Macaca mulatta: one gene and its partner. Each later gene encodes a partner of the first gene's protein in a complex. Links are inferred from orthologs where the notes say so. Each region holds a gene or a part of one and is shown on either strand. Other genes may lie near its edges. The genes, in order: FUZ and CPLANE2.

Region 1 (15,596 bases):
TGCCACTCCCACCCAGGTTTGTGTGTAAGAACAACGGGGTTCTGTTCGAGAACCAGCTGCTGCAGATCGGAGTCAAGTCAGAGTTCCGGCAGAATCTAGGTGTGTCCCAGGGGACTGTGGGAATGGGTGGGAGGGAGACCTTGGGTTGGGCCTGGGGAAGGGGTCAGAGGGACTCAGATGGAGCTCTGCCTCCCCCACCTACTGCAGGCCGCATGTATCTCTTCTATGGCAACAAGACCTCGGTACAGTTCCAGAATTTCTCACCCACTGTGGTCCACCCCGGAGACCTCCAGACTCATATCCTCTCAGGCCCGGCCCAGCCTCCTGCCTCCAGGCCTGCCTCTCCAGGTTGGCCTTCCTCATCGTGGGGAAGCTGGCTGACCCAGGTCCACACTTCTCTTTAGCCCCTCTTGGGCACGCAGTTACTTCTCTGAGATTCAGTGTCTGCATCTGTAAGATGGGGGTGGGGTTCCTTCCCCCAGGACAGGAGATGACAGTGAAGTGGTGTGTGGGAGGCATTACTTCCGGAACTCACCTGCTCCAGGCCTCAGTTTGTCCCTGTCTGGCACCTTCCGTGTCCTGCCATTATCCTCCACTGGGCTCCATGTCATGATGCCAGCACCTCCTGCACTCAGAAGCCAGGCCTGCGGGTCCAGACGCTGATCAGGGCCTCCTCCTGTATGACCTAGGCTGAGTCACTTTGCCTATCTGGGCCTTCCTGTCCCCACCGGGAAGTGTATGTAGACCCTCCTCTTCCTCATAGGGTTATTGTGAAGATCAGAGTATCTGGAAAACCCTGGAAGGGTGGCTGGAGGTATCAGTACCCCCTGTTCCTTCTCTGGGCCTCCATTTCCACATTGATGAAATTAGAAAAGCTCAACCCCCAAACTCCTTCCGGCCGGGCGTGGGGGCTCATGCCTGTAATCCCAGCACTGGGAGGCTGAGGCCAGCGGATCATTTGAGGTCAGGAGTTCAAGACCAGCCTTGCCAACATGGTGAAACCCCATCTCCACTAAAAATACAAAAATTAGCTGGGTGGTAGTGGTGCGCGCCTATAATCCCAGCTACTCAGGAGGCTAAGACAAGAGAATCACTTGAGCCTGGAGGTGGTGGTTGTGGTGAGCTGAGATTGTATCACTGCACTCCAGTCTGGGCGACAGAGTGAGACCCTGTCTCAAAAAAAATCAGAAACAAAATTCCCTCTTCCATAATTTCCAGAGGCTCGTGCAGGCAGCTCCGTGGAGGCAGTGGCAAGAGAACATGAGACCCAGGCCTTCCCAGTGGGCTACTGACACGGATGCAGATGACGATAACGCTAATTGCTACCATCTTTGTGTACTTATCATGTACCGGGCACACAGACAAGTACTTGTAATGGATTTTTTTTTTAAATAGTGATGAGGCCTCACTGTGTTGCCCAGGCTTGTCTCAAACCCTTGGGCTCAGTGATCCTTCCCACCTTGGCCTCCCAAAGTGCTGGATCACAGGCGTGAGCCACCACACCCGGCTGGATTATTTCATCAACTCCTGAGGACATTTTACACATGTCCTTTTGTTGAGACAGGGCCTCACTCACCCAAGCGGGAGTGCAGTGGCACGAACACTGCTTACTGCAGCCTCGATCTTCTGGGCTCAAGGCATCCTCCTGCCTCAGCCTTCCAAGTAGCTGGGAGTACAGGTGCACATCACCACACCTGGCTAATTTTTTTTGTAGAGATGGGGTCTTGCCATGTTGCCCAATCTTACACATGTCCAGAGGCTTAGAGAGGTTAAGTGGCTGCCCACAGCCACTCAGGTGGGTAAGAGATGGGATTCAAACCCAAGTCAGCCTCCAGAGCTAATACTATTATGTCTCAGTGAGGTGTGACATTGTGGGAGGCCAAAGGAGGCACCTAGGGGGCGCCTCAGAGGTTTCCATAGTATGAACTTTGTAGTTGAACCTTGTAGGATTGAGTCCAGGATTGCACCATGGGGTCCCTCAAAGACCTGCAGGCGGGAGCTGCCGGCAGCTCTGGGGTTCCTGACCCAGACCTCCCGGGGGCCCGCCGCCTCTGTCTGGCTTCCTTGACCGCTGGCGGGCACAGCTGGCTGTGCAGACCAAGCGCGTGGCGGCGCAGGTGGATGGCGGCGCGCAGGTGCAGCAGGTGCTCAATATTGAGTGTCTGCGGGACTTCCTGACGCCCCCGCTGCTGTCCGTGCGCTTCCGGTAAGTGAGGTGTGGCGCGGCCAGTGGGCGGGGCCTCCCGGGCGAGGGGCGGGGCCTAACGGAGCCTCCCCCTCACTCCACCAGGTACGGTGGCACCCCCCAGGCCCTCACCCTGAAGCTCCCAGTGACCATCAACAAGTTCTTCCAGCCCACAGAGATGGCGGCCCAGGATTTCTTCCAGCGCTGGAAGCAGCTGAGCCTGTGAGGGGTGGGGAGGGGGCGGCGCCAAAGCCGCGCCTCCGGGTGGGCGGGTCGGGCCGTCCAGGTCCCTGACTTGAACCTTCCCGGTCCCCAGCCCTCAACAGGAGGCGCAGAAAATCTTCAAAGCCAACCACCCCATGGACGCAGAAGTTACTAAGGCCAAGGTGAGAGACCGCGGGCGTGTTTGCTGGCCTAGGGCTGCTTTGCTTCTCTGAGCCTCTGTTTTCCCATCTGTAAAGTGGGGCCAATTCCCATCCCCAAGGGTTTTGGGATCTGGGATGCCACTGTGTGGTAACTGACAGCTCTGGCACTCTCTGACGGCGGCCCCCCTCCCTCCCAGCTTCTGGGATTTGGCTCTGCTCTCCTGGACAATGTGGACCCCAACCCTGAGAACTTCGTGGGGGCAGGGATCATCCAGACTAAAGCCCTGCAGGTGGGCTGTCTGCTCCGGCTGGAACCCAACGCCCAGGCCCAGGTGAGTGCTGCTGTGGGAGGCCTGAGGTCGGCAGGAAGGCCACCTGTCATCTCTGTGCCCACTCTTCCTGCCTCACTGTTCAATTCACGTCCCCCCTTTGACCCTCCTCCTCTCGCATCTTTGTCCACTTTTCCTCCTCTTTATCCATCAATCTTCTCTCCTGTCTCCAACCTCTGGTCTTCCTCTCCTCTTCCTGTCCCTCCCTGATTTCTACCTTTCCATATCGTTTCCACCTTTCTCTTCTCATTTATAATTTCCCTCCTTTCTGGCTCCTCCGTTGATTTCATTCTTACATTCTCCTCTCCTGTGTCTTGTATCACTTTTCTGGCCCCTTTATCCTTCTTTCTTCTATCTCCCTTGTGTCCCCACTTCCCTGGGCTCCCCATCTTCTCTGAGTTCTGCCCCCAATGTCCCCACCCAGATGTATCGGCTGACCCTGCGCACCAGCAAGGAGCCCGTCTCCCGTCACCTGTGTGAGCTGCTGGCACAGCAGTTCTGAGCCCTGGACTCTGCCCCCGGGGATGTGGCCGGCACTGGGCAGCCCCTTGGACTGAGGCAGCTTTGGTGGATGGGGGACCTCCACTGGTGACAGAGAAGACGCCAGGGGTTGGGGGATGCCTGGGACCTTCCTCCGGCCTTTTGTATTTTTATTTTTGTTCATCTGCTGCTGTTTACATTCTGGGGGGTTAGGGGGAGCCCCCTCCCTCCCTTCCCCCTCCCAAGCACAGAGGGGAGAGGGGCAAGGAAAGTGGATGCCTCCTCCCCTCCCACCCCACCCTGTTGTAGCCCCTCCTACCCCCTCCCCATCCAGGGGCTGTGTATTATTGTGAGCGAATAAACAGAGAGACGCTAACAGCCCCATGTCTGTGTCCATCACCCACTGCTAGGTAGTCAAAGAAGTGGGGTGAGGGCATGCAGAGTGTGGGTGGCTAGGCTTCGCAGCCCATGGCTGGGACTCTGGGGAGACAGCAGCAGCAGCAGCCGCCGAACCCCCAGCTGCAGGGCCACCAGACGCACTCCTTTGCCTGGTTCCTCAGTCCCCAACACCAGGTAGCAGGCTCTGGGCAGCTGGGCCTGGTAGACCTCATCTTCTGTCTTCCCTGGTGGCCCTGGCTCTGGGGAAAGAACAGGGGGCACTGAGGTGACAAGTAGCATGCTAACCTTTGGAAGCCACACCACATCCTGGGCCCAAGTTCTGAACGCGTGGGGTCTCTGAGCACAGGTTTTGGGAGCCTTCTGCCAGGGCAGGGCCTCGGGGTTCTAGCAAGCTGTCAGCAACTTGAAGACCATGATGCTCTCAGCTCACCCTCGTCCTCTTTCTCAGCCTTGGCCCCCATTTTCCTGGGGAAACTGTGCAGCTGCAGGCAATCCTCTTAGCAATACACATGGCAAACACGGCAGAAACACAGGAGCTCCAGTAGCCTTTTCCAGGAGCCCACCCGCCCCACTGCATGAGGTGGGTGGAGGGAAGCAGGCAGGGGCCAGGGAGAGGTGGAGTCGCACAGCTAAGAAGGGGTGCAGCCCCCCAGATGGAGCACTTGACCACTGTGCTGCATTCATCCGGGCTTCACTGGGGTCATAGCGCCATCCCAGGGCCCTCCCTTTGTCTCTCTGGGCCTTTATGGGTTTTACAATAATTTTTCCTTTCTAACCCAGCATCGGTGAAAACCTGCCCCATCCCCCAAGCCTATCAGCAAAGTCTGTGCTTTCAGCAGTAGTGCAGAGTGCTGGACCGTGTGGATATGGGAGCCAGATCCCCTGTGTTCGAATATGGCTGTGCCACTCATAAGCTGAGCCTCCGTTTTCTCATCTGTAATATGGGAATGATGAGGTAACAGGATAGTCCTCGCTTGTGAGGATAAAGTGATTTCATTCTTTCATTACATGTAAAGGCACTGGGAAGAGGTGAGGTCTCACTGTTAACTATTGTTAACTATGATCTAGGAGGTTCTGAAGCCAGGCAGGGACCTCCCTTCCCCTCCCTTCCCTCCTGGAAAAGGCTACTGGAGCTCCTGTGTTGCTGCCGTGTTTGCCATGTGTATTGCTAAAGAGGATCGCCCTTCCCATCTGCATCAAATCTCAGATCTCAAGAAAAACCACAGCCCTATGGCCCAGTGCATGCTGGGTTCGTCCGGTTCCTCCAACCCCACCTCCTACTCCCACTCTGCGTGACCAGAGACTCAGTGTCCCCGCCTGCGCAGTGGGAGCACTGTGCCTGCCGCTGACCTGGTGGGAAGTGCGTGGAGGTGACCAGGGTATAGAAGTTTCGGAGGAGGCGCCGGCGCTGTTCTGGTGAAGGCTCTGCTGAGGAAAAGGCAGTGATGCAGAGCCCCTCCCCGGCCCACGCTCCTCCTGCCCCTGCCCCTGTCCTCAGTCACCTTTATCCCCCAAGGGCTCCACGGTGAAGAGGCAGCGTTTCAGTTCCAGGTGGAGGAGCAGCAGCCTGTGGGAAAGGGAAGGGAATGTCATGGTTGGGGAAGAGGACATGATCCCCAACCCACTCCCTCCATCCGAGCCTTACCCGAGGATGTCTGTGTGAAGGGGGAAGCCACTGGGCAGCGCTCGGGGTCCCAGCGGCAGACAGGCCCGCAACGGGTCCAGCAGTGGCTGCCAGCAGCGCTCCAGAAGCTGCAGGGGGCGTGGTCATTATGGGAAGGCGGGGCCGGCGGGGGAGTGCACGATAGGGGCGTGGTCAATCGGGAGGGGCGGGGCCTACGAGAACAGTGGAGGGCGGAGGGCAGAAGGGACAAGGGAAGGGGCGAGGCCTGGAAGGACGGAGGACGCGCGGGGGTGGCCGATCTTGCGGGGAAGGTGAATGACTGGAGCGCAGTCCAGAAGGGGCGGGGCTGGGGAAAGAAGCCGCTGGCAGGGCAGGGTGGTTGGAAAGGGCCTTGCAGGTACAGGGTGTCCTAAGGGGGAAAGCGGGACGTGGCGCAGGTTCACCTGTGGATACAACTGGCTGAGGGGTGGGCTTGGCCCGCAGAGTAGACACAGCTCCAGGCTCGGCAGCAGTGTCAGGGTCAGGAGCCGGTGTGGGACCTGAAGCAGGGCACAGGCTGGGGCTGACCGCGGCCCGGCCCCTTTCCATCGCAGATCCCGCTTCCTAGCGACTCGGCCCCCAGGTCACATCCCTCTGCCCCGTCCGCCCCACCCACTCACCGTGGGGCTCCCGTGCGGCAGGTACACCGGGTAGTCGCGAGCGGTCTGCGGCGGCAGGGACCCCACCAGCCAGGGGAGCAGCACGGCCTCGGGCGTCCCCAGCCGCCACCAACCTTCCGTTGCTGCCACCACCCGGCCCGACACCACCAGACTGACGAATGCCGTGCCCGTGGCCTCCGCGAACCCGGAGAGGGCTTCCTGGGTAAGGGAGGCAGGAGAACTGGGAGTCGCAGACAGGCGTAGGGGTTGGCAGCGACTTCCCCGGTGGGCAGGGAATGGGGAGTAAACCCACAGCCAGCCCCAAGCTCGTGGAGTGGCCATGCTCCTGCGTCTCACCCTCTCTGAGCCTGAGTTCCCTCACCTTCATACGAAGTCACATCCCCAACTCACACTGTGAAGTCTGATTACACACCTAGCCTGAGTGTGCAAACTGAAGCTAATGATGTAACCACAGCAGCTACTGTTCATCAAGGCCTGTTACATGCTGAGTAGGCACCATCAGCAATGTAGAGAAGCCAAGTCACCTGCTGAGAGTCACACTGCTGGGAGGCGCCCACACCAGGCAAGTCAGCAAGAGCAGTATTTAAGTAGGGGTAGCTAGAGATCTGAGAGACAGGAGGAAGAGCAGGTACCAAGGTTGGAAAGTCGTTGGGATCTCTGGGGTCTGTGAGGCAGCAGGATGGAGGTAGATTGTGGATTTAGCAACAGGTTAGGGGGTGCCACGTGCCACAGGCCTTCAAACACCAGGCTGAGGGGCTGGGACCTTGTCCTGGGGGAGGTGGAGGCTGCGGGAGGGCTGTGAGCAGGAAAGGGGCAGGGCCAGCTCTGGATATAGGAGGATTCTTCTGGTGGTCGGGTGTGATGGCTCACACCTGTCATCCGAGCAGTATGGGAGGCTGAGGGGGGAGGACTGCTTGAGCCCAGGAGTTTGAGACCAGCCTGGGCAACTTAGTGGACACTCATCCCCAACCCCAGTCCATCTCTTAAAAAAATTAGCTGAATGTGGTGACACGTGCCTATAGTGTCAGCTACTGCGGAGGCTGAGATGAGAGGATCACTTGAATCCAGGAGTTCAAGGCTGCAGTGAGCTATGACTGAGCCACTGCGCTCTAGCCTGAATGACAGAGCGAGACCCTGTCTCAGAAAAGAAAGAAAGATGGCCCAGGTGCAGTGGCTCACGCCTGTCATCCCAGCACTGTGGGAGGCCAAGGCAGGTGTCAGAAGTTTGAGACCAGCTTGGCCAACATGGCAAAACCCCATGTCTACTAAAAATACAATAAATTAGCTGGGCGTAGTGGCGGGTGCCTGTAATCCCAGCTACTCCGGAAGCTGAGGCAGAAGAATTGCTTGAACCCAGGAGGCAGAGGCTGCAGTGAGCTGAGATCGTGCCACTGCACTCCAGCCTGGGCAACAAGAGTAAAACTATGTCTCAAAAAAAAAGAGAAAGGAAAGAAAAGAGAAAAGAAAAACAATACAAAGAAAAAAGATTCTTCTGGGACCAGGTGGGGATAGGACTGGAAACTGAGAGGATAGGAGAAGGTTGGGACAATGGTCCAGAAGAAAGAGGATGAGGACTGAGCCAGGGCCAGCGGAACACGTATTTCCATAGCATCCGCAGTACCTGCAAGAGGGACCCCTCTGGAGGAATCACACAGTCCACACACTGGGTCAGGTCCCCGATGAGCTCCGAGTCCCCTAGGAAGCTGTCGATGAGGCAGTAGCTGGCCTAGGAGAATGAGAAAGGGACCAGCCTAGCATTCAGGTGGACCCAGGGTCAGACAACCAAGAACCTGTGGGACCAGGCTGTCCCAGGGGCTGCTGGGAACTGTAGTTCCCAAATGGCAGTGCCCAGGTATCCTAACTTCCCACCCTCATGCCCTGCAACCTCACCCTCAAGTCCTTCTTCAGTCTCTCCACATTGCGGATATTGGTCAGTTCTTCAAGTCCCACAAGAAGGACCTAGGAGAACCATATAGGAGAGAATGGGCCCTGGGCAACTAGTTCTAAGAGAGGAGGGGCTGGGACTTGAACTCCTGGGTCTGAAGGAAGAGGAGGCTAGGACTCCCACTTCTGGGTCTGGGGACTGGGGGGTCAAGATTCCTGGGTTCTGGCTGGGCCGGACGTGGTGGCTCATGCCTGTAATTCCAGCACTTTTGGAGGCCAACGTGGGTGGATCACTTGAGGTCAGGAGTTTGAGAACAGCCTGGCCAACACAGTGAAACCCTGTCTCTACAAAAAATACAAAAATTAGTTGGGCATGGTGGCGCGTGCCTGTAATCCCAGCTACTTGGGAAGCTGAGGCACGAGAATTGCTTGAACCTGGGAGGCGGAAGTTGCAGTGAGCCAAGATCACGCCGTTGCACTCCAGCCTGGGCAACAGAGCGAGACTCTGTCTCAAAAAAAAAAAAAGAAAAGAAAAAGAAAAAGATTCCTGGGTTCTGAGGGAGGAAGTGTTGGTGGTCTGGACTCCTAGGTCTGAGGGAGAAGGATGCTGAGATCTCAGATGCTGGTTTGGGGAGAAAAGAGGACTGGTGAGTCTCACCATGGCTCCAAACACCATTTGGAGTAGTCTCTCCAGCCTCAGCTCAGAGATGCCCTCCTCAGATGACAGAACAATGAGGGTGATGCTGTGGAATGGAAGTGAGAAGAATGAGTCAAGGCCTTGGGAATCAGGAAGGGGTATGCTGGAGTCCGCCCATCGATTCCAGAACACCAGATACATCCTCCCTCAGCCCAACCTTCCTTTCTTATAGAAAACATCAGGGATCAAAGAGGGTAACTGGCTTGCTAAAGATCCCACAGCCAAATTAACAGCTGGTTTTAGAGAGCTGGAAGGCCTCCGAGGTCATCTTCAACAGGGACTATCACCCAGGCCCTGTCCCTGTCCCACGTTCCCTCCTGGGGACCTGTCATGGAAGCTTTTCCACACCACAGTCGTGTTTTCAGTCTTCGCAGAGCTCAGCTGCACCTCCAGATTCTGCCCAAACATATGGACTCCATTGAGGGAACCGATGACAGAGAACGGGAGCTAAGGAGGGGTTAGGGACATCAGACAGGAGCACCACCCCATCCCCTCCTCCTTAGGACCTAAGCGTGCCAGCTCCCAGCCCCATCCTCTTTCCATATACCCTGGCAGTGCCTCTTTGGGGAATCAGGCTTATTGGTGCATTGCCTCCTCGGTCCTACAAACTCAACACTGAAACCTCCCCAGCCCCTACTGCCTTGAAGACCCAGAGTCAAAACACCGAACCCCCTTCGGTTTAGATACAGGTGTCCAAGGCCCCACCTGCTGACGGGCGGGGGCGCCGCCGCGACTGCTCCTGCAGAACAGGGGAACCCCGCTGGACGCCGCGAGGCACAGCAGATGAACGGTGCCACCCGTCCCCTCCTCCCCCATTTAGGACTCCCACCGCGGTCCCTCACGTGGGGACTGTCAGTGCCGGTCTTGGAGCATGCCGGTAATCACAGTAACGGCCTGTGGTCCGGAGCCGCCAGAGGGCGAGATGGGGAGCTGATTGGAAGAGGATTAATTTCCCGCCTTCTTCACCCAACTCAAACAGACCCTTAAACCCCATTCAGGCACCTCCCCCAAGCCCATTAGGTTCTCTTCCGCCCCGGCCGGAAGTCATGGTACCCCTAACAAAGATGGCGGCTAATTGAATTGGCAAACCTTTCTTGTTTCTCGGAGGAGGTAAGGAGAACCCAGAGGCCGGATTGAAGATGATGACTGCGCCAAGGCCTTGCCTAGCCACCATCCTGTAGGCTTTGATGATTTACACTCTAAACGGGAAAAACAGTTGTGCCCCGATCAAAGATTGCGACGGTCCCAAAGCGTTGCCTAGCAACCACATTCCCTCTAGGTTATAGTAGTAAACAACGTGCCCTACTCAAAGGCGGCGACCGTGGCTGGGTGTTGCCAAGCAACCACCATTCAGCCAGATTTCCATTCCAAAGCTGTAAACAGCTGTGCCCTGCTCAAAGATGGTGGCACGTCGAAGTCCGAGCACCTCCTTGGGGCGAAATCGAGAAAAACACCGTCTCCCCCCAACATTCGAGGGTGGTTGAGTCCAGCGATCGTTGCCTAGTAACCACCAAAAAAAAAAAAGGTTGTTTTTATTATTGGAAAAAAGAAAACAAGGAAATCCTTTGTCGTCCAGAATAATAAAAATAACATCATTTCTGTAATGAATTTATACATGGTAGCATACTATGTAAAATGTGAAAATATCCCTTCCCTAATTTTTTCTTTTTTTTTTTTTTTTTTTTTTGAGACGGAGTCTCGCTCTGTCACCCAGGCTGGAGTGCAGTGGCCGGATCTCAGCTCACTGCAAGCTCCGCCTCCCGGGTTTACGCCATTCTCCGGCCTCAGCCTCCCGAGTAGCTGGGACTACAGGCGCCCGCCACCTCGCCCGGCTAGTTTTTTGTATTTCTTAATAGAGACGGGGTTTCACCGTGTTAGCCAGGATGGTCTCGATCTCCTGACCTCGTGATCTGCCCGCCTCGGCCTCCCAAAGTGCTGGGATTACAGGCGTGAGCCACGGCATCCGGTCCGGGTCAGGTTTCTTTCTATTAAAGTAAATATAAAGTGGCAGGGCACAGTGGCTAACACCTGGGATTGCTTCAGCCCAGGAGTTTGAGACATGCCAGGGCAACATAGTGAGACCCCATCTCTACAAAAAATTTAAAAATTAGGCCGGGCGCGGTGACTCATGCCTGTAATCCCAGCACTTTGGGAGGCCGAGGCCGGCGGATCACGAGGTCAGGAGATCGAGACCATCCTGGCTAACACGGTGAAACGCCATCTCTACTAAAAATACAAAAACAAAAAACAAGCCAGGCGTGGTGGTGGGCGCCTGTAGTCCCACGTACACGGGAGGCTGAGGCAGGAGAATGGCGTGAACCCGGGAGGCGGAGCTTGCAGTGAGCCGAGATTGCGCCACTGCACTCCAGCCTGGGAGATAGAGCGATACAACGTCTCAAAAAAAAAAAAAAAAAAAAATTAAAAATTAGCTGGGAGTGGTGGTGCGCGGCTGTGGTCCCAGCTGCTCTACAGGCAGAAGAGTGGCTCCAGTGCGAGCACTAGAGGCTGCCGTGAGCCAAGATTGGGCCACTGCACTCCAACCTGCACAACAGAAAGAGACCTTGTCTCAAAAAATAAAAATTAAAATTAAAAAGATAATAGTAATGCAGTGTTTCTATTTTTCTATATTATTCATCAATAAGATTTGTGTAGCACATTTCTGTCAACAAACACGTTAGATTATTCCAGTTGGTAGTGTATTTTTCAACTTGGTTTATGCAGTCTTTTGGGAAAAATTAATAAAGACTACGTTTTCTGACTTTGCTGTAGTGCTAAGAAACTCAATGGCAGTCATTAAGATTTTTTTCCTTCAGATAGTTTTCGAGTTTCATTTGTCGCACTTACATTTTTAATCTACCTGGAATGTATTTATGTTCTAGGCCAGTTTCTGGCTCCTCTCCCGGAAAACAACGCTCAGGTGTTGCTAAGCAACCCACACTTGGGTTGGTATTCGGCTTCTTTTCAGGGGGAAAACAACTGCCCTCCCTTCCAAGTTGAGGACGACCTTAAAGCGTTGCCTAGTAACCTCGTTTCCGCCGATGTGATTGGATCCTTCTCGCCTCCCTCCCCCAGTCCGCCCGCCCAAAAGAACAGAATCAGAAACTTAATCTAACGGTTAGAAAACAAGGGCAGAGGTCCCGGCGCTGTGGCTCAGGACTGTAATCTTAGCACTTTGGGAATCCAAGGCGGGCGAATCACTTGAGGTCAGGAGTTCGAGAACAGCCTGGCCCACATGGTGAAACCCTTTCTCTACTAAAAATACAAAAATTAGCGGAGCCTGGTGGCGGGCACCTGTAATCCCAGCTACTCGGAAGGCTGAGGCAGGAGAATCGCTTGAACCCGGGAGGCGGAGGTTGTAGTGAGCCGAGATCGCGCCACTGCACTTCAGCCTGGGCGACAGGGCGAGACTCCCCTTTCGAAAACAAAGGAAACAAAACACAAAAACGAAAACAAGGGCAGCGTACGCGTTGCATAGCAACCAGGTCTCCCGCCCCTCCCTTTGAGACAAGAGGCGGACCCAGACGCCCCGCTCAAAGATGGCGGCTGACTGAGCCGCTTTCAATTTATTTCGCTCTTGAGAATCCTGACAAGAATTCCGTCGAACCCATCAGGCCCCTAAAAGGGCTAACTATGCCCTTTCTGAGTTTTCCACGCGGTGGAGGCGAAGGAGGATGGAGCTAGAACGAAGCCTCAGCGCGTGCCCCGCACAAACATGGCCGCATTCCCAGCGTCCCTAAACCGCCCGGCGCGGGTGCGCGCGCAGCGCAGGCGCATTTCCGCTCATTCCGCGGTGTCGGCTGCGGCGGCTGTGGCGGTGGCGGCTACCGCACGGGGTATGGTCCCCGGGTCCGAGGGCCCGGCCCGCGCCGGGGGCCTGGTGGCCGACGTGGTGTTTGTGATTGAGGGTACGGCCAACCTGGGACCCTACTTCGAGGGACTCCGCAAGCACTACCTGCTGCCGGCCATCGAGTGAGTGCCGTTTCCGCGGCTCTAATCCCGCCCTCCCATTTCAGTTTCCACAGCTTCTTGCCTGACTCCGACCTTTCACCTCCGACCCTCACAGGTATTTTAATGGTGGTCCTCCTGCTGAGACGGACTTCGGGGGAGACGTGAGTCTTGGGACTCCTGGGTCTGAGGGAGGAGGGGCTGGGGGCCTGGACTCCTGGGTCTGAGGGAGGAGGAGTTCGGGGTCTGGACTCCTGGGTCTGAGGGAGGAGGAGTTCGGGGTCTGGACTACTGGGTCTGAGGGAGGAGGAGTTCGGGGTCTGGACTCCTGGGTCTGAGGGAGGAGGAGTTCGGGGTCTGGACTCCTGGGTCTGAGGGAGGAGGAGTTCGGGGTCTGGACTACTGGGTCTGAGGGAGGAGGAGTTCGGGGTCTGGACTCCTGGGTCTGAGGGAGGAGGAGTTCGGGGTCTGGACTACTGGGTCTGAGGGAGGAGGGGTTCGGGGTCTGGACTCCTGGGTCTGAGGGAGGAGGGGCTGGGGGCCTGGACTCCTGGGTCTGAGGGAGGAGGGGACTGGGGGTCTGGACTCCTGGGTCTGAGGGAGGAGGGGCTGGGGGCCTGGACTCCTGGGTCTGAGGGAGGAGGAGTTCGGGGTCTGGACTACTGGGTCTGAGGGAGGAGGGGTTCGGGGTCTGGACTCCTGGGTCTGAGGGAGGAGGGGCTGGGGGCCTGGACTCCTGGGTCTGAGGGAGGAGGGGCTGGGGGCCTGGACTCCTGGGTCTGAGGGAGGAGGGGTTCGGGGTCTGGACTCCTGGGTCTGAGGGAGGAGGGGCTGGGGGCCTGGACTCCTGGGTCTGAGGGAGGAGGGGTTCGGGGTCTGGACTCCTGGGTCTGAGGGAGGAGGAGGGGCCTGGACTCCTGGGTCTGAGGGAGGAGGAGGGGTCTGGACTACTGGGTCTGAGGGAGGAGGGGTTCGGGGTCTGGACTCCTGGGTCTGAGGGAGGAGGAGGGGCCTGGACTCCTGGGTCTGAGGGAGGAGGAGTTCGGGGTCTGGACTCCTGGGTCTGAGGGAGGAGGGACAGGGGTCTGGACTCCTGGGTCTGAGGGAGGAGGGGATGGGGCTGAGATTCCTGGGTCTGAGGAAGGAGGAAGTTGAGGAGTTCCTGGTTCTGGAGGAACAGGAAGCTGGGAGCCCTGATTCCTTCTCTGAGGGAAAAGAGAATGGAGATCCCAGATTAAAAGTTTTTCTGGGCCGGGCGTGGTGGCTCAAGCCTGTAATCCCAGCACTTTGGGAGGCCGAGACGGGCGGATCACGAGGTCGGGAGATCGAGACCATCCTGGCTAACACGGTGAAACCCCGTCTCTACTAAAAAATACAAAAAACTAGCCGGGCGAGGTGGTGGGCGCCTGTGGTCCCAGCTACTCGGGAGGCTGAGGCAGGAGAATGGCGTGAACCCGGGAGGCGGAGCTTGCAGTGAGCTGAGATCCGGCCACTGCGCTCCAGCCTGGGCGGCAGAGCGAGACTCCGTCTCAAAAAAAAAAAATAAAAAATAAAAAAAAAGTTTTTCTGTTCTCCCCTCCCAGTATGGAGGGACCCAGTACAGCCTCGTGGTGTTCAACACAGTGGACTGCGCTCCCGAGTCCTATGTACAATGTCACGCTCCCACCAGCAGCGCCTATGAGTTTGTCACCTGGCTCGATGGCATTAAGTGAGCTTTTCCCCCACTTAGGGTGGGTTGGGGTTCCTGTGAGGGGCCGTGAATGAGGGATGGCTTGGGTTTGAGCTGCAGGAAACATCTCATACATGAAGCGATTTAAAGGACTTTGAAGGTGATTGTGTTTTTGTCAGAAGTCACTTTTGTGGCTTCTGTGTGCTCAGCAATGTTGCCAACCAGTTTAGAAGTAGGAAAAACTTCCCATTCAGGGAGGCCTGGCTGAGCTCCAGCAGCCACCTTGTACTTCCTGTGTGATTGTCCCCTTTATGTCCTCTCTTTTTCTATTTACCCCGTTCTCCTTTTCCAGATGCGTACATTGTAGTCTCAATGCAGGGGGATGGGTCAGAGCCAGGATAGATCCCTCTGTGGCTTGAATCAGACCTTTTTTTTTTTTTCTTTGAAACAGAGTCTTGCTCTGTCTCCCAGGCTGGAGTACAGTGGCAGAGTCTTGGCTCACTGCAACCTGCACCTCCCGGGTTCAAGCGATTCTGCCTCAGCCTCCTGAGTAGCTGGGATTACAGGCACACGCCACTACACCCAGCTAATTTTTTTTTTTTTTTTTTAGTAGAGACGGGGTTTCGCTATGTTGACCAGGCTGGTCTCGAACTCCTGACCTCACGTGATCTGCCTGCCTCAGCCTCCCAAAGTGCTGGGATTACGGGGGTGAGCCACTGTTTCAGGATTGAGGAGGACGGGAGAGAGTCTTCCGCTTAAAGCAAGAGAATCTTTCATTGAGTGCACTCAGGCCCAAGCAGACTCACGTCCAAAGACGGCCTAGAACAAAGACAGCACTTGACTTTTATACACACTTCACAAAAGGGGGTGGGCTAGCTTGAAGCAAACTTACAGTGGCGTGAAAGCAGGGATACAGAGGCAGGACAAAGACAGTTAATCAAATTGTTGTAACAGGTTTATAACTCAGGATTACACATAACCGTTGCTATGCAACCCAGATGTCCGTTATCTAGGTTTGCCTAGACACGGGCTTATCCCATAACCTTCACTATGGTGCCCAGGCAGCTCAGGCTTCTCATGACCTTCACTGTACTTCTTAGATAAAAGAGAATACTTGAAGTCATTAGTTACAGAGAACAGAAATCTATAAACTCATTCCATAAAACAAAGGAAAATTTGTTTTTTCTTCTCCCTATGTTGAGGGAGTGCTGGGAGAGTCTCCAAGAGCACATTAGATAATATTATCAAAACTTTTCCTGGGTCTGGGCTGTGTCTGTTGCTGCCTCTCAGGCAAGTCAGCCTAATACAGTAAAACTTATTTCTCTTTGTTTTTAATTTTATTTTTCTTTAATTTCCTGCC
Region 2 (15,749 bases), on another chromosome or scaffold:
TTTCCCTACTTACTGCTTAACCTTGGATACAAGTTGCCTCATCTGTAAATGTAGTTGCTTCTACCTTATAGGAGCCTGTGGGTTAATTGAAGTTGTATGTGAAAAGCGCCACCGCAGTGCCTGGCCCATAGTAAGTTTGCAGCTACTGCCTTCCACTGCAGGGCCAGCACAGCACTCCCCAGCCAGGGTTCTTGTTTTTCTGGATACAAAAGGGCCAGTGGGCTGGGCATGGTGGCTCACGCCTGTAATCCCAGCAGTTTGGGAGCCCAAGGCAGGTGGATTCCTTGAAGTCAGGAGTTTGAGACCAGCATCAACATGGCAAAACCTCTTCTCTACTACAGATACAAAAATTAGCTGGGCATGGTAGTGCACACCTGTAATCCCAGCTACTCGGGAGGCTGAGGCAGGAGAATCACTTGAACCCAGGTGGAGGCTGCAGTGAGCCAAGATTGCGCCACTGCATTCCAGCCTGGGCGACAGAGCGAGACTCCATCTCCTAACAAATAAATAATAAAGGGCCAGAGGCCTATGCACATTTGGGTGTAAATTAAAAATCTGGCTGGGGAAGGGGAGACAGTGCAGGAATCAGCACCTCAGCCCAAGGTTTTGCCTTCATTACTCCTCCGGTGAGCATGAGAAAGTTTCCTGAAAGTGGTAGGCTTTGAGCACCCCAGGTCTAGGCAGGACAGGAAGCATCCACCAAAATTTTGCCCATGAAAATCCCGCAGGCTGGCCGGGCGCGGTGGCTCAAGCCTGTAATCCCAGCACTTTGGGAGGCCGAGACGGGCGGATCATGAGGTCAGGAGATCGAGACCATCCTGGCTAACACGGTGAAACCCCGTCTCTACTAAAAAATACAAAAAACTAGCCGGGCAAAGTGGCGGGTGCCTGTAGTCCCAGCTACTCGGGAGGCTGAGGCAGGAGAATGGCGTGAACCCGAGAGGAGGAGCTTGCAGTGAGCTGAGATCCGGCCACTGCACTCCAGCCTGGGTGACAGAGCAAGACTCCGTCTAAAAAAAAAAAAAATCCCGCAGGCTGGCCTCTGCGTGGTGCTGCCGCACACGACTGGGTCTTACCTGTGCTCTGTGCCTTTTCACCTCCCCCAGTCCAAGGAGAGCCTCCCAGCTAAGTTCCGCGTTCTGGTCTCAGTGGCCATTACTACTCCTCTTCCCACAAACACTGCCAGCATGTCAGTGGATGCTGTGTGAGGTGATGATTTGTCCACGGCTGTAAGTGTTCAAACAGGGTCTGACTACCTGCATGGAAAGAAATGACAGAGATGATTTATGCATCAGATCAAGATTGGAACAAAGGAAACCATGAGACATAGTTCTGTGGACTCAGAAGGGACTTAGAGGCGGTACGACAGGACAGACCTAGGTTCAAGAGCTGACTGTCACTTTGAGCTGGAGCAAGTCATCCTGCCTCATTGAGCCTCAATTTTATCAGTAAAATGGCAATGATGGCAGCCAGCCTCACAGGTTAGCAATTTAGCGGGAACCAGCCAAGAATCGTTAATCCATTGGATGGGTGTGATTCCCCAAAAGGCCACCTGAGGGCACCCTGTGAAAGGCTTCAAGTGTGCTTGGGTGATCTGTCGGAGGCAGTCTTGAGAAGGAAAGCAGATGGGCAGGAAGAATAAAACGCTTGCCCGTTTCTCCCCTCCCTCTGTCAGTTAAGCCTGGGGGGCACCCCTCCCTGGCCTCTGCCTTGTTTCAACTACCATCTCCCGGCTGGCCTACCTGCCTTCCCTGCCCCAGCCCTCAACCGTGGGAAAATGAGTCTTCCTCATGGGCTGGGCTCTGGGTCCAGAACCTGTTGGCATGCACAAAGCCAAGTTCATGTCTTAAGTCAATGCCGAAAAGTCCTAGCAGTGTGTTCTGCACCCACCAGGGAGCCTGTCTGCCCACCTACTGCAAGGAAGAGAAGGAGGGCTCCTTTCTAGCAGAAGCCTGGGGAGAGGGAGGATGCTCCTGCCCGACGACATGGGCTGTGGCCCGTTGACAAGGCCCAGAAAGCCTGGAACTGACTGGGAGACTATTCACTCTCAGCAAGCATTCCCTGAGCATCTGTGACCCCCGAGGCACTGAGACACACAGAAGACACAAAAGAGGCCCACCCATGAAGGAGCTTACAGCCTAATCACAAACCAGGGAGGTGTCCCATGGGCTAAACAAAAATGACAAATCCTGAGCTTCTAAGGTCAAAAGACAATCCAGGTATCATACTAAAAAGATACCAAAGGGGATGGAGTCAGTAGAACCATCTGCAACCAGTGCAGCCACCCAGGGCCAGGACAGTTTTTCGGGAAGCCACAAGCCAAGAAGTTAGCCTTCTCTTTGCTTTGGTGTCTTAGTTGCTTTGTGCTGCTATATACCACAGACAGTGATTTATAAGCAACAGAAATGTATTTCCCACATTTCTGGAGGCTTAGAAGTCCAAGCTCAAGGCACCATTCAAGCTTGGTGTCTGGTGAGGGCCCAGTCTCCACTTCCAAGATGTTGCCTTGTTGCTGCTCCATCGCGAAGGCTGTGTCCTCACACAGTGGATGGGACAAACTGGCCCCTCAAGCCTTTCCATAATGTCGCTAATCCCATCATGAGGGCTCTGCCCTCATGACTTAATAATTCCCCAAAGGCCCCACCTGTTAATACTGTCACTGTGGTGATTAAAGTTCAACATGTGAATCTGGCGGGACGTTCAGATCATGGCACTTGGCCTCATCCTGCTGACCTGTGGCAGGGGGGCAGATGAGGATAGAGCCTATCTGGGGCATCCCAGATGGGTGGGGTCTAGGCCTTGATTCTGGCAGTCAGTAATGCAGGATCTCGATAAACCTAAAAGCCTCAGCAGCCAATGGTCAGGGCTGAGGACAATGGAGGGTGACCCATGTGGACTTGATGACCAGAGGTCATCCCCTCAGATGTAATGGGAAAGGAGCTCCCGAGCGGAATCCATAGTGGGAAGAGAACACAGGACCGCACGGCTGAGGCCACGGCTGAGGCCACGGCAGGGGCACAGAGCAGAGTACTTTCTGCAGCAGAAGGCCCACAAGAGATGGCGTCCAAGGAGTAGCATCCCTCCCCAGCCATGCTTCCCTGGGATTTGGGCAAGCCTCCCTGCAACATGAGCCTCAGGGCGGGCTGGAGGAGGGGGTTTCTGGTTCCTCTGCCTCTCCCGGGTCTGAGCTCGTGGTTGTCATTGCTCAAGGCCCTGCTGTCTGTCCACAGCATCCGGACCTCTCATCCGTCTACACCCATTGCTTCAAGCTTGGTCCCTCCGCCGTTGGTAATGTCCAGCTCTGCTCGGGCTGCTCACCTGCGTTTTACATTCCAACATCTGCTGTGTGTCCTCTCTGGGCAGCCCCCCGCCCTCCCTCACTCCCCAGGGGCTCCTCCTCTGTCCCTGTACGCTTCCTCCGTGCTTCCCCCACAGTTAGGGGCACCACCATCCATCCAGTCACCTGGGAATCATCCCGGGGACCAGTGATCTGAGGACGGAGAATTGACCGCTGAGCTTGGCGGCAAGGTTGGTGCCCTGACCTGACTTGATTAACTGGCAGTGGCTTCTGCTTGGAGAATGGCCTGAAGCCCGGTGAGCCTGGCGGAAGGACTGCTAGGAGGCAGAGCAAGCATTCCAGGTGTGAGTGGAGCATTCCTGGTGCTAGGCCATGCTGAGGGAGGGGTGGGCGTTATTCTAGGTGCTGAGAGGATTTTAAGCCTGGTGTCCTAGCTGACCTCCCACCCCCCACCCACCCAGGATCCTCAAGCAGGGCTCTCCATGCCTCATTCTCACCCCAGCTCGGCCTGTGTGTCTACCCACCTGGGCCTCCTATCCACTCTGTCAAGTTGGTGACTGTGTCCTTGCCTTGTGGAGTCCTCTTAAGGTCTCGTGGGGACCTTGTCCAAGAGATGTTTAATATTTGTGGGGAGACCAAACCAAGAAGAAATGAGTGGATTAATCAGAGGGCTCTAGGCCAGGCACAGTAGCTCACACCTGTAATTCCAGCACTTTTGGAGGCCGAGGCGGGCAGATCACGAGGTCAGGAGATTGAGACCATCCTGGCCAACATGGTGAAACCTCATCTCTACTAAAAATACAAAAACTAGCCAGGCATGGTGGTGGTGTGTGCCTGTAATCCCAGCTACTTGGGAGGCTGAGGCAGGAGAATCGCTTGAACCCAGGAGGTGGAGGTTGCAGTGAGCCAGTGGCACTCCAGCCTGGCGACAGAGCAAGACTCTGTCTCAAAAAAAAAAAAAAAAAAATCAGAGGGCTCTAGACTAGAAGGGTCCTTAGGGAGATGTTCTACGTGCTTTGCTTAAGGCCCTGAAAGGAGAAGCAGCTGGCTTAGGCAGACACATAGTTTAGTGGTCAGAGGGGCGCAGGAGAGCAGAACTCATAGACCAACACGGTCCACAAGCGTCCTTCTGAAACGCAGTTCTAACCATGTCACTTTCAGGCCCCAACAGTCGGCTGGCCTCCTGTGCCCAGCAGCAGTGTTTACGTGAGGTCTAGGGACCCTGTTATGGACTGAATTGTGCCCCCCTCCACCCAGATCCATACATTGAAGTCTTAGCCCCCAGTGTGACTATATTTGGAAACAGTTTCTTTAAAGAGGTAATTAAGGCTGGGCGCAGTGGCTGATGCCTGTAATCCCAGCACTTTGGGAGGCCAAGGCAGGCAGATCACTTGAGGCCAGGAGTTTGAGACCAGCCTGGGCAACATGGCAAAACCTTCTCTGTAAAAAAAATGCCAAAAAAAAAGGCCAGGCGCAGTGGCTTACGCCTGTAATCCCAGCACTTTGGGAGGCTGAGGCAGGTGGATCACCTGAGGTTAGGAGTTCAAGACCAGCCTGGCCAACATGTTGAAACCTGTCTCTACTAAAAATACAAAAATTAGCCGGGCGTGGTGGCAGGCGCCTGTAATCCCAACTACTCGGGAGGCTGAGGCAGGAGAATCGCTTGAACCTGGGAGGCAGAGGTTGCAGTGAGCAAAGATCGCGCCATTGCACTCCAGCCTGGGGAACAAAATTGAGACTTTGTCTCAAACAAACAAAAATACAAAAAAAGGAAAAAAAAAAATTAGCCAGGCGGTAGTCCTAGCTCCTCTCGGGGCTGAGGCAGGAGAATTGCTTGAGCCTGAGGAGGGTGAGGCTGCAGTGAGCTGAGATCACACCACTGCCCTCTAGCCTGGGTGACAGAGTGAGACAGGTGGCGCGTGCCTGTAGTCCCACCTACCTGGGAGGCTGAGGCAGGAGAATCGCTTGAACCCCAGAGGCAGAGGTTGCAGTGAGCTGAGATTGTGCCACTCCAATCAATCCAGCCTGGGTGACAGAGTCAGACTCTGTCTCAAAAAAAAAAAAAAAAAAAGTAGATAAGAGACAAAAGATTGCATTCTTTTGAGTCCTTGATCAGCCTTCCACTAAATACATAATTTATTTTGTTTATTTATTCAGCTCTGTTACCCAGGCTGGAGTGCAGTGATGTGATTCTGCTCACTGCAACCTCAACCTCCCAGGTTCAAGCAATTCTTCTGCCTCAGCCTCCTGAGTAGCTGGGATTACAGGCACCTGCCACCACAGCCGGATAATTTTTGTATTTTTAGTAGAGACAGGGTTCACCATGTTGCCCAGGCTGATCTTGAACTCCTGAACTCAGGTGGACCGCCCACCTCGGCCTCCCAAAGTGCTGGGATTACAGGCATGAGCCACCGCGCCCAGCCTTTTTTTGTATATTTTTAGAGATGAAGTTTTGCCGTGTTGCCCAGGCTGGTCTCAAACAGCCTCCCAAAGTGCTGGGATTACAGGTGTGAGCCACCGCACCTGGCCCCAAGAGGACTTTACATCTTCTCTGGGTTCCAGATTAACGGGCATGTTACTCTGCCAAGTTGCTTCATCTTCTCACACGCTCACTGAGCCCTCCACGAACCAAGGACAGGGGTGGATGTGAAGTCTGGAAATCCAGAGATAGTTTAGATCTGAGCCCTGCCACTGAGTCACTCCTGGCCCATGGAGACAACTGTGAATCTCCCTGACTGGGCAGATGTGATGATAGCTGTAGGAACGGGAACCATGTGACCCGGAAGTATGGGCAAAGGATTTCAACTGCAGAATTCTGTAGAAATGTTTATTCATCTTGTTTTTCTGCCTAGCCATAGTGTGAGCAAGTTGAGAGAAAGCACTTTGTCTTACACATCCCCGTCCCCTCTCAGACATAATGGGCCTTACACATCCTTGTCCCCTCTCTTAGGACATAATGGGCCTTAAAAATCTGAGTTCATAGTCCTCTGGCTGCTTTCTGCTTCCCTAGGAACAGCCCTCCTAGTGGCTAGGGGCAAAGTTTTAAAAACACAAAACCCAAACTGGTAGAACAGATAGGTACTTTAGAGTCAGGTAAGCATGAAGCGTGGGTTTTTTGTTTTTTGGTTTTTTTTTTGACAGGGCCTGGCTCTGTCGGTCAGGCTGAAGTACAGTGGCATGATCTCGGCTCACTGCAACCTCCATTTCCCGGGCTCAAGCAATCCTCCCATCTCAGCCTCCAAGTAGCTGGGACTACAGGCATCCACCACTGTGCCTGGCTAATTTTTGTATTGTTTTGTAGAGACAGGGTCTTACTATGTTGCCCAGGTTGGTCTTGAACTCCTGAGCTTAAGCAATCTGCCTGCCTCGGCTTCCCAAAGTGCTGGGATTACAGACGTGAGCCACACACCAAACCAGCTGTGAGTTCTGAGTCGGTTTCATGCTGACTAGCTGTGCAGTGTGACCTCAGACAAGTCATGTTATGTTTCTGAATGTCTTCATCAGTACAAGAGGGTAATACTACTTATACAGATTTGTTTATAGAATTAAATCTAGGCCGGGCGCGGTGGCTCAAGCCTGTAATCCCAGCACTTTGGGAGGCCGAGACGGGCGGATCACGAGGTCAGGAGATCGAGACCATCCTGGCTAACACGGTGAAACCCCGTCTCTACTAAAAATACAAGAAAATTAGCCGGGCGAGGTGGCGGGCGCCTGTAGTCCCAGCTACTCAGGAGGCTGAGGCAGGAGAATGGCGTGAACCCGGGAGGCGGAGCTTACAGTGAGCCGAGATCGCGCCACTGCACTCCAGCCTGGGGCACAGAGCAAGACTCCGTCTCAAAAAAAAAAAAAAAAAAAAAGAATTAAATCCAGTGACCTCTGTAAAGCTCCCAGTGTCTGGCATTTCGGTGGCCTTCGGTAAAGCTTAACTCCTAGATTATTCCTTTCAAAACAGTGATTTGCCCTACTTGAAGGCATTGCGGGAGGATAATGGTAAAAATTAAATGTAATAGACAAACTCTCAGTAGTGACCCACCTGTACCCTTTCCAACCAATGGGCATTTACTGAGCACCCACCTTCTGGGTAACAGGCCTGGAATCCAGTGCTGGAACGGTGGAGGGGAGCTCAGAGTTTCAGAGCTGAAAAGTCAGCCCCAGGAGGGCAGTGACTTCTTGTTGGCCACTGTATTCCCAGCCCTTAGAATGGGCCAGGCACATAGTAGGTGCTCAGTATTTGTTGAATGAATGAATGAATGAATGAATGAAAAATACAATCCAGCGGGCCTCTGACTCTTTTTTTAAAAGTTCAGCCAAGTCCCTTGACCTCTCTGAGCTGGTGTGTGTCCCCATCAGTGAAGCTAGAGATGTTTAAGTCATCTCGAGGTCCTGCCGAGCAGGATTAATAGAGCAATAATATTAATAATAGCTACAATCATAACGTGGAGCACTGCTATGGAGGGAATGACATGTTACATCCACGTTATGGAAGAGGAAACTGAGACACAGAGAAGCATGGAAGGCTCCTGGAGAAGGGGGGGTTTCAAGATGTTTTGGAAGAAAAACTGGGGATCAGACGGAGTAGCAGAGAAGAGGATCCACGACCCAGAGGAAAAGGCCTTATCCAGCGCCGTCGCGCGGCGCTGCCTGCGGACGTTGTAGGAGGGACTAACGCAGCCCGGAACCCGCCCAATCCAGCCTCCGGCGTCTCCATGGCAACAACCTCTGCACATGCGCCGCGAGCACCGGCGCCTGAGCTGCCAGCACGGGCAGAAGCCGGACGCAGGCGGGGCGGAAGCGGGCCTGGCGGGCTGGGGCGATGGGCGCGCGGGTGGGCGTTTAAAGGGGCCTTCGGCACCCAGGTTGTTTCGCCGCCGGGAATGCTGACGGTGAGGGCTAGGTAGCCCCGGGAGTTGGGATCTAGAAGGTAGAGGAGAAGCAGGGCTGTCTGACCCCCGGAGGTGACAAGGGGAGAGGGGCTGGGTAAATACCTTCGCTAGGCAGTAATGGGATGACTATCCCCAGGGAGCACTGTGGAGGAGAGAGGCAACTGAGGGACTGCACTTTCTGGTACCCACCGGGAGAGTCAGCGTTTAAGAGGGATCATAGGCCCGGCTTGGTACGGTCACCCCCCTTCGCACTCCCTGGTCTCAGCATTCTGCCACTTCCCTACCCCGTCGCGGTGCCCAGCCATGGCCAGACCTCCCGTGCCCGGTTCGGTGGTTGTCCCAAACTGGCACGAAAGTGCTGAGGGCAAGGAGTACCTGGCTTGCATTCTGCGCAAGAACCGCCGGCGGGTGTTTGGTAAGTGCCTCCCCCTTTCCTCCAGCCCGCCACTTGTTTCTCCCTGCCAGTGTCACCTGTTGCTCTCTGAAGAGAGCAGAGAGGCAGGGCAGTGAGGGCCTGCTGCAGTCTTCAGCCTGGGGGACTGAAAGCCCTACCTCTGGGACCCCCCACCCCTAAGTCTCCTTAGAGCTAATTCCCTCGTCAGAGCCAGGAACATGGAAACAGCAGAAACCCTGCCAGCAACCACTGTCACCAGAGATGCAGTTGCTTGAGCTCTCCGCTGCTGCCAGGCCCTCTGTTGGGCTCGTTACACAGTGCACGCCCATTTAACCTCTCAACAGCACATGGTACAGACTTGGCTAATATCACACCCTAATAGAGGTGAGCCTCTTCCATGTCCTGCTGTCTCTAGGATGAGACACTGGTGTTCCCCATCACTGAACTGCCTGGGTGAGTCAGTTCAGTGAAACTCAGGCAGGGCCCGGCTGACAGGCCGGCAAAGGTGCCTGGAATCAGCTGTGGAGTACAGTTCTGGGCAGGAGAAGCAAGGTGCCAGAAAGCTTAAGACCAGAGAGTGAGATAGCTAGAACCAAAATTTGTGAATAAGTCAACTGTTTAAAAAAAAATTACACTAGATTCAAAATACGACCCTCACGCCTGTAATCCCAGCACTTTGGGAGGCCAAGGTGGGCAGATCACCTGAGGTCAGGAGTTCAAGACCAGCCTGGCCAACATGGTGAAACCCTGTCTTTACTAAAAATACAAAAATTAGCCGGGCATGGTGGTGCGCATCTATAATCCCAGCTACTCGGGAGGCTGAGGCAGGTGAATCACTTGAACCCAGGAGGCGGAGGTTGCAGTGACCCTAGGTCCAGCCATTGCATTCTAGCCTGGGTGACAAAAGCAAAACTCCATTTCAAAAGAAAAAAAAAACAAACCCTCGATTATGGCCACTGTCCCTTTAATCCCATGACGGCTGGTAACACTGTATTTGGGGTTACACATACCCAGGTAAGTGACCCAGGCTCCACCACTGCTAGCTGTATGACTGGGGATAAGTGAACTCTAGCTAAAGTCCCACTTCTGTAAAATGGGGATAATCACAGTATTTATCCCATAGAGGTCCTGGGGAAATTGATAAAGAGTGTGTTTGTAACATACTGAGCAGGGTCTGGCATACAGTGGGTGTTCACTGAAGGTTGGTTGTTATTGTATTTATTTTGCATTTAGTTGTGTTGAGTGGAAAAGAATTGAGTGAAGGTTGAGCTGATTTTCTGGGGACATCATAGAATCCACTGACCATATTATCTATGCCACAGATAGGATCAAACAGCCATAACTTAGAGGAATGGCAGTGATGGCTTTTAATTTTTGTGTTTTTACTTTAACCACAGACATTTGGGTTTTTTTCTTTTTTTTAACAGCTGGGTTTATGCACCCGAATGTATCATTCAGTGGTTGTCATGCAGGCCTCACAAGAAACAGCTAGTTGAGAGCAGCTAGTAAATAAATATCAACAGACTGACTATAATCACTTAGGCCAGTCTCTTTGTATCCCAGACTTCTGTAAAACTGGGTTGAGTATTAAGAGCCACAGATGGGGCTGGGCACAGTGTCTCACACCTGTAATCCCAGCACTTTGGAAGGCTGAGGCAGGCAGATCACCTGAGGTTGGGAGTTTGAGATCAGCCTGACCAACATGGAGAAACCCCCTGGCTACAAAATTAGCCAGGCATGGTGGCGCGTGCCTATAATCCCAGTTACTCGGGAGGCTGAGGCAGGAGAATCACTTGAACCCAGGAGGCTGAAGTTGCAGTGAGCTGAGATCATGCCATTGCACTCCAACCTGGGCAACAAGAGCGAAACTCCATCTCAAAAAAAAAAAAAAAAAAGAACCACAGATGGTTGCTTAGCCCTGAAGAAGCCATTAGAAACGAGGTTGTCCTTGGCTGCGTGTGGTGGCTCATGCCTGTAGTCCCAGTACTTTCGGATGCCAAGGTGGGAGGATTGCTTGAACCCAGGAGCTCAAGACCGGCCTGAGCAACACAGTGAGACCCCATCCCTATTAAAAATAGAAGGTAAAGAAAAAAAATAAAAATAAATAAATGAGATTGTCCAGCCCAGGATCTGATGGGGCAAGTGCAGGATTTACCCCCGTCTTAGTTCATTTTATGCTACTATAACAGAATACCACACTCTGAGTTATTTATTTATTTATATTTTTTTGAGACAAAGTTTCACTCTGTCACCCAGGCTGGAGTGCAGTGGTGTGATCTTGGCTTAGCAACTTTCACCTCCCAGGTTCAAGCAATTCTCCTGCCTCAGCCTCCCAAGAAGCTAGGATTATAGGCACACATCACCACACCCAGCTAATTTTTTGTATTTTTTTTGTAGAGATGGAGTTTCACCATGTTGGCCAGGCTGGTCTCGAACTCCTGACCTCAAGTGATGCGCCTGCCTTGGCCTCCCAAAGTGCTGGGATTACAGGTGTGAGTCACTGCGCCTGGCCTCCTCTGGGTAATTTATAATGAACAGAAGTTTATTTAGCTCATGGTTCTGGAGGCTGGGAAGTCTAAGAACATGGCAGTGGCATCTGGAAAGGGCCTTCATGCTGTGTCATCCCATGGGCAGACGGCAGAAGGGCAACAGCAAGACAGCAAGAGGTACCCAAACTGGCTTTTATAACAAACCCACTGCCCCAGTGACAACATTAATCCATTTATGAGAGCAGAACACTCGATCACCTTGTATTAGGCCCGACTTCCTAACACTGCTGCATTGGGGATTAAGTTTCCAACACATGAACTTTGGGGGACTCCTTCAAACCACAGCACCCTTCGACCCTGCCTGGCTCCCTTTTTGCCCTAGGCCTGCTTGAGCGGCCAGTGCTGCCGCCGCCTGTGTCCATCGACACTGCCAGCTATAAGATCTTTGTGTCTGGGAAGAGTGGTGTGGGCAAGACGGCGCTGGTGGCCAAGCTGGCTGGCCTGGAGGTGCCTGTGGTGCACCACGAGACCACCGGTGAGTGGGACCTCAATCCTTTGCCCATCCTGGGAGGCCCTCCTTGGGGGTGGAGGCAAGAACCTCGCCCTGGACCACACAAGCCAGGGTTGATACCCAGCTCCACCTCTTACTCTGTAGCCTTAGAAAGTCACTTCACCTCTCTGAGCCTACATGGGCTCCTTGGTCCCAAAGGAATAATTGTACCTACCCCACAGGGTTGTTGTGTGGTTGCCAACAGAGGTAGTAGTGGTAACATGCCTAGCATCAAGCTATGCTCAAGGCAGACGCTCAGGAAATGCTAATCTTGCTTTCTTGTTTCTCACCACTGGATGCTGATTGTTCCACCATGTTGAAACATCTCCCAGTGCCCTGGGCCCTTTAGGTCTCCCTGGACATAGAAACGAAGCTGCTTTGCCATAGCTAGGGCTGCATCTTCCTGGTATACCAGAGTCTCCTCCAGGGCTGGTCTCTGTTTCTCCCATCAGCGAATTCTCCTGGGTCAAGGACTGGGCTGCCCTCATCAAACTGGGGACCCATCAGGGCAGGGATGTATCTCTTCTTCCTATTCCTTCCTGGCCACCTATTCCTCCACCCCCACCTCTCCCATGCTGAATGGCTGACCCTGGCTCCCCCTCAGGCATCCAGACCACCGTGGTATTTTGGCCAGCCAAGCTGCAGGCCAGCGGCCGTGTCGTCATGTTTCGTTTTGAGTTCTGGGACTGTGGAGAGTCTGCACTCAAAAAGTTCGATCATATGCTCCCGGTGAGCAGGCATGTGGGCCTGGGTGGGCTCTGCCAGGGGCTGGTTGGGTAGTAGTGAGCTCAAGGCACTGCTCAGAGATCTGAGCTGGCACTGGAGACTGAGTCCCAGCCCATGCTTGTCCTAGGACCAGCCGCTACGTGCCCTGGGCCTCAGTTTCCCAATCTGTGAAAGGAGGGATTATTCCTGATTCTTCTCAGGGCCCTGCAGTTGATGGGAGGTGATTTGGTTATATGCCTCTCCATCACCAGGCTTGCATGGAGAACACAGATGCCTTCCTCTTCCTCTTCTCCTTCACTGACCGTGCCTCCTTTGAAGACCTCCCTGGACAGCTGACCCGCATAGCAGGTGAGGCCCCTGGTGTCGTCAGGATGGTCATCGGCTCCAAGTATCCTTTGGATACCCTCAGCAAGTCACGGAGCAAGGGGGTCAGGGGCCCAGCCTCTGCCCAGGCATGGAATTCAGCACCTGGGCTTTTACTTAGAGGGTACAGCATGGCTACCCCAGCTCCTGGGTGTGGGCTCCAGGGAGGAAGGAGAGGCAGGGTCTGATGGGGGGCTGTGCAGAGGCAGCCAGCCAGGCTCCTTGACCCTCCTCCAGATTTGACCAGTACATGCACACAGACGTGCCTGAGCGGGACCTCATAGCCTTTCGGCAGGCCTGGGAGCTGCCCCTGCTACGGGTGAAGAGTGTGCCAGGGCGGCGGCTGGCTGATGGGTGCACGCTGGACGGGCGGGCTGGGCTGGCTGACGTTGCCCACGTACTCAACGGCCTTGCTGAGCAGCTGTGGCACCAGGACCAGGTGGCAGCCGGCCTGCTTCCCAACCCCCCAGAGAGTGCTCCTGAATGAATAACGAGTGGGTGCTTGTGATCCCACCCCCAACCCTCAGGTCTCGACATAGGGCCTGAGGCTGAGGCAGGAACATGGGTCCCATCTGGAAGACTAGCCAGCATGACCTGATATGGAGGATGTGGCCGGAGAGGGCCCGCCCCGGAGCAGCACTTTCCTTGCAGAATTCATGCCAGGGAGTTGGGGAACAAGGCCCTGAGCTCGAACATCTCCCACGGCCTTTCCCCCTTTGGCAGCACCCGTGGAGGGTGACTGGAAGAAGGGGTGCCTCTCAAGTGACTTCAATCAAGAGCCTTTATTGGTTGAGGTGACACCATTTGTTGTAACAGATAAACTCCGAAATCCCAGTGCTGTACTCCATGTGTTCGTTCTTGCGTAGGCCTCAGCTAGGAAGTAGGTGACAGTGGGCGTGGGGCTCTGCTCCAGGCGCTCCTACAGAGACCCAGCCCCAGAGACCCTGTCCAGCTGCCCTAGGGCATCAGCACCCAGTTAGCAGCCAGGGAGTGAATGCAGGCGGGAGGTGGCCCCCAGCTTTCTGTGGACCAGGCCCAGGGTGGCACCTCATTCTGCCCACATTCCAGAGACCAGCACCCAGCAGTCATGTAGTCATGTGGCGCTGCGGGGGAGGCTGGGACATGGAGTCCACCTGTGAGTCCAGGAGTCAAGCCCGTCGCTCTGCAGGGCCTTTCTTTTTCTTTCTTTTTTTTTTTTTTTCGGAGTCTTGCTCTGTGGCACAGGTTGGAGTACAGTGGTGTGATCTCAGCTCACTGCAACCTACACCTCCTGGTTTCAAGCGATTCTCCTACCTCAGCCTCCCGAGTAGCTGGGATTACAGTCGCCAACCACCATGCCCAGCTAATTTTTGTATTTTTAGTAGAGATGGGGTCTCACTATGTTGGCCAGGCTGGTCTCAAACTCCTGATCTCAAATAATCAGCCCGCCACAGCCTCCCAAAGTGCTGGGATTACAGGCACGAGCCACCGCGCCTGGCCTGCAATGCCTTTCTTGATCATGAAGCTGTCAGACCAGGCTTAGGATAGGAGTCCTGGCAGCCCAGGGGCACCCGAAAGCAGCACCATGCAGGGTCAAGGACCATCCCAGTGGGGGTCAGAGCGTGAGCTGGCCTGAGAGGCAGCTCTGTCCCATGGGAGGCCATCAAGGACAGGAACCGGGAGGGGAGTGAGTAGGCCCAGCCTTGTGTCTTGGCCCTGCCCCATAAGCCAGAGACGCTGGTCAAAGTAGGCTAAGGAGGATGAGGGGAAGGCCCCAGGGAAAGGGGCCTTTATACGATCCCCTCCAATGAGCCCCTGCCCAGCCCCATAGATGAACCCCTGGGCTGAGGCCGGGCCTGCATCTGGCTCAAAGCAGAGTGTCCCCAAAGGCAGCTGACTCTTGGAACTCTGCAGCTCTGCCCAGGCCCCACTCACACAGTATGACCTGTGCTCACACACACCTGCGCTAGGACGAAAGCACTTTCCACGCCTGCCTGCTGGCACACACAGGAGGTCCAGACTCACCTGTCCTGATGCCTGCACCCAAGCACACTGCTCACATGCCCATCCACACTGCCAGCCTGTCCTCCCTGGGTACTGCCACCTACGTTTGTCAACCCTTCCAGGGTCTGGGCCAGAGGAAGGACTGATTCCAGCACCTTCTCACCGCTGACTAAGGCTTAGAGCTCAGGCCCTGCACTTACCCACACCCCAAGAAGGAATGTCCCTGGACGGGACCCCAGCCTCAGAGCCTGCAGGCCGGCTCCCACTCCTGCAGCCCTCAGCCCTGCTTCCAGGTGGATCTATCCACGTCCCCCTCTGTCCTTAACTCCAGGAGACCTTAGCTCACCTGAGGAGCAATGTAGTGGAGGGTAGGGCCCAGAAGGCAGCCCCAGGCCTGACTGTGGGCCTCCAGTTACAGGCATTTGTGCTTAGGAACCGCCTACCCCACATCCCAGCCGGTCATCTCTGGGCATAAACCCCACCCCCCCACCCCCGGAAAGGAGGCTTCCTGTCCCTCTTGGGCACCAGCTCAGCCAAAAGCCAGAAAGCTGTCTGGAGCATAACCTGATCCCCCCTCCCCGCCCCGCATGGCGAGGCAGGGCAGTCTCCTGGCTGACACTGCTCTGGTCAGAGAATTGACCCCTCATCCACCTTTACACCAAACAAGAGGTGTCTCCCTGGGTGAGGACAAAGTGGGGAGGGCAACAGGGCTGGGGCTTAGAGCCCCTCCACCAGCCATCCAGGGCTGCCTTCTCAGCTCCTCCCAGCACAGCCCCGGTGCCACTTTAGTATTTAGTAGGCCACCCCGGGGTCTCCATCACCACAGTGCAGAACTGGAAGCCACAATGCTTTGAATAGTCGACGCCTGTGCCTCCTGGGTGGTCTCTGGGCAGCCCTGTGGAGAGTGGGTGAGAGGAGAGTGTGTTCTCACATGCACATGTTCAGGCTGATGGCATGGGACTGTGACCTGTCCGGTCACACAGGGCCTCAAACTCCAAGGAGCCCCACACCTGGTTTAATGCTCTGCCATTGCCCTCTTGCTGATGCCCTTCTTATTTTTTTA

Evidence for each region.
Region 2: the proteins of FUZ (region 1) and CPLANE2 are in contact, whole or in part, in a cryo-EM structure (PDB 7Q3E), measured with the Mus musculus proteins. The link is inferred for Macaca mulatta from reciprocal best matches to the Homo sapiens genes FUZ and CPLANE2. Residues at the interface, in NP_081652.2 of Mus musculus: Arg26, Arg35, Ile109, Val110, Lys126, Glu127, Arg129, Ala130, Tyr132, Cys133, Asp136, Gln215, Ala216, Ala217, Arg218, Asp219, Tyr220, Pro221, Tyr223, Pro232, Leu238, Thr239, Leu240, Leu241, Arg242, Pro255, Leu256, Gly257, Gln258, Pro261; in NP_001074643.1 of Mus musculus: Glu36, Gly38, Leu39, Leu40, Glu41, Arg42, Val83, His84, His85, Glu86, Thr88, Gly89, Ile90, Gln91, Thr92, Thr93, Val94, Lys124, Phe125, Met128, Glu134.

What each region holds. Positions count from the first base shown.
Region 1 is NC_133424.1:62,271,290-62,286,885, forward strand, and holds FUZ (protein fuzzy homolog), read right to left. Parts: upstream 9,623-15,596; 5' UTR 9,439-9,622; coding exon 9,328-9,438; intron 9,070-9,327; coding exon 8,948-9,069; intron 8,669-8,947; coding exon 8,584-8,668; exon of another isoform or gene 8,582-8,583; intron 8,001-8,581; coding exon 7,932-8,000; exon of another isoform or gene 7,931-7,931; intron 7,768-7,930; coding exon 7,663-7,767; exon of another isoform or gene 7,662-7,662; intron 6,240-7,661; coding exon 6,042-6,239; exon of another isoform or gene 6,040-6,041; intron 5,922-6,039; coding exon 5,826-5,921; intron 5,511-5,825; coding exon 5,404-5,510; exon of another isoform or gene 5,403-5,403; intron 5,326-5,402; coding exon 5,261-5,325; intron 5,187-5,260; coding exon 5,109-5,186; intron 3,998-5,108; coding exon 3,774-3,997; 3' UTR 3,490-3,773; downstream 1-3,489. Other genes in the region: AP2A1 (AP-2 complex subunit alpha-1), read left to right, coding at 17-99, 208-386, 2,085-2,206, 2,291-2,407, 2,502-2,571, 2,748-2,882, 3,304-3,381; MED25 (mediator of RNA polymerase II transcription subunit 25), read left to right, coding at 12,458-12,591, 12,686-12,731, 14,151-14,275. UniProt on the Homo sapiens protein: Probable planar cell polarity effector involved in cilium biogenesis. May regulate protein and membrane transport to the cilium.
Region 2 is NC_133406.1:224,780,124-224,795,872, forward strand, and holds CPLANE2 (ciliogenesis and planar polarity effector 2), read left to right. Parts: upstream 1-8,027; 5' UTR 8,028-8,181; exon of another isoform or gene 8,182-8,219; intron 8,220-8,317; exon of another isoform or gene 8,318-8,482; 5' UTR 8,483-8,484; coding exon 8,485-8,596; intron 8,597-10,972; coding exon 10,973-11,095; exon of another isoform or gene 11,096-11,105; coding exon of another isoform or gene 11,106-11,241; intron 11,242-11,446; coding exon 11,447-11,599; intron 11,600-12,218; coding exon 12,219-12,343; intron 12,344-12,591; coding exon 12,592-12,728; intron 12,729-12,940; coding exon 12,941-13,190; 3' UTR 13,191-13,230; coding exon of another isoform or gene 13,231-13,301; 3' UTR 13,302-13,354; coding exon of another isoform or gene 13,355-13,389; 3' UTR 13,390-13,537; downstream 13,538-15,749. UniProt on the Homo sapiens protein: Required for efficient primary cilia initiation, regulating a late step in cilia initiation. Plays a role in the final maturation of the mother centriole and ciliary vesicle that allows extension of the ciliary axoneme.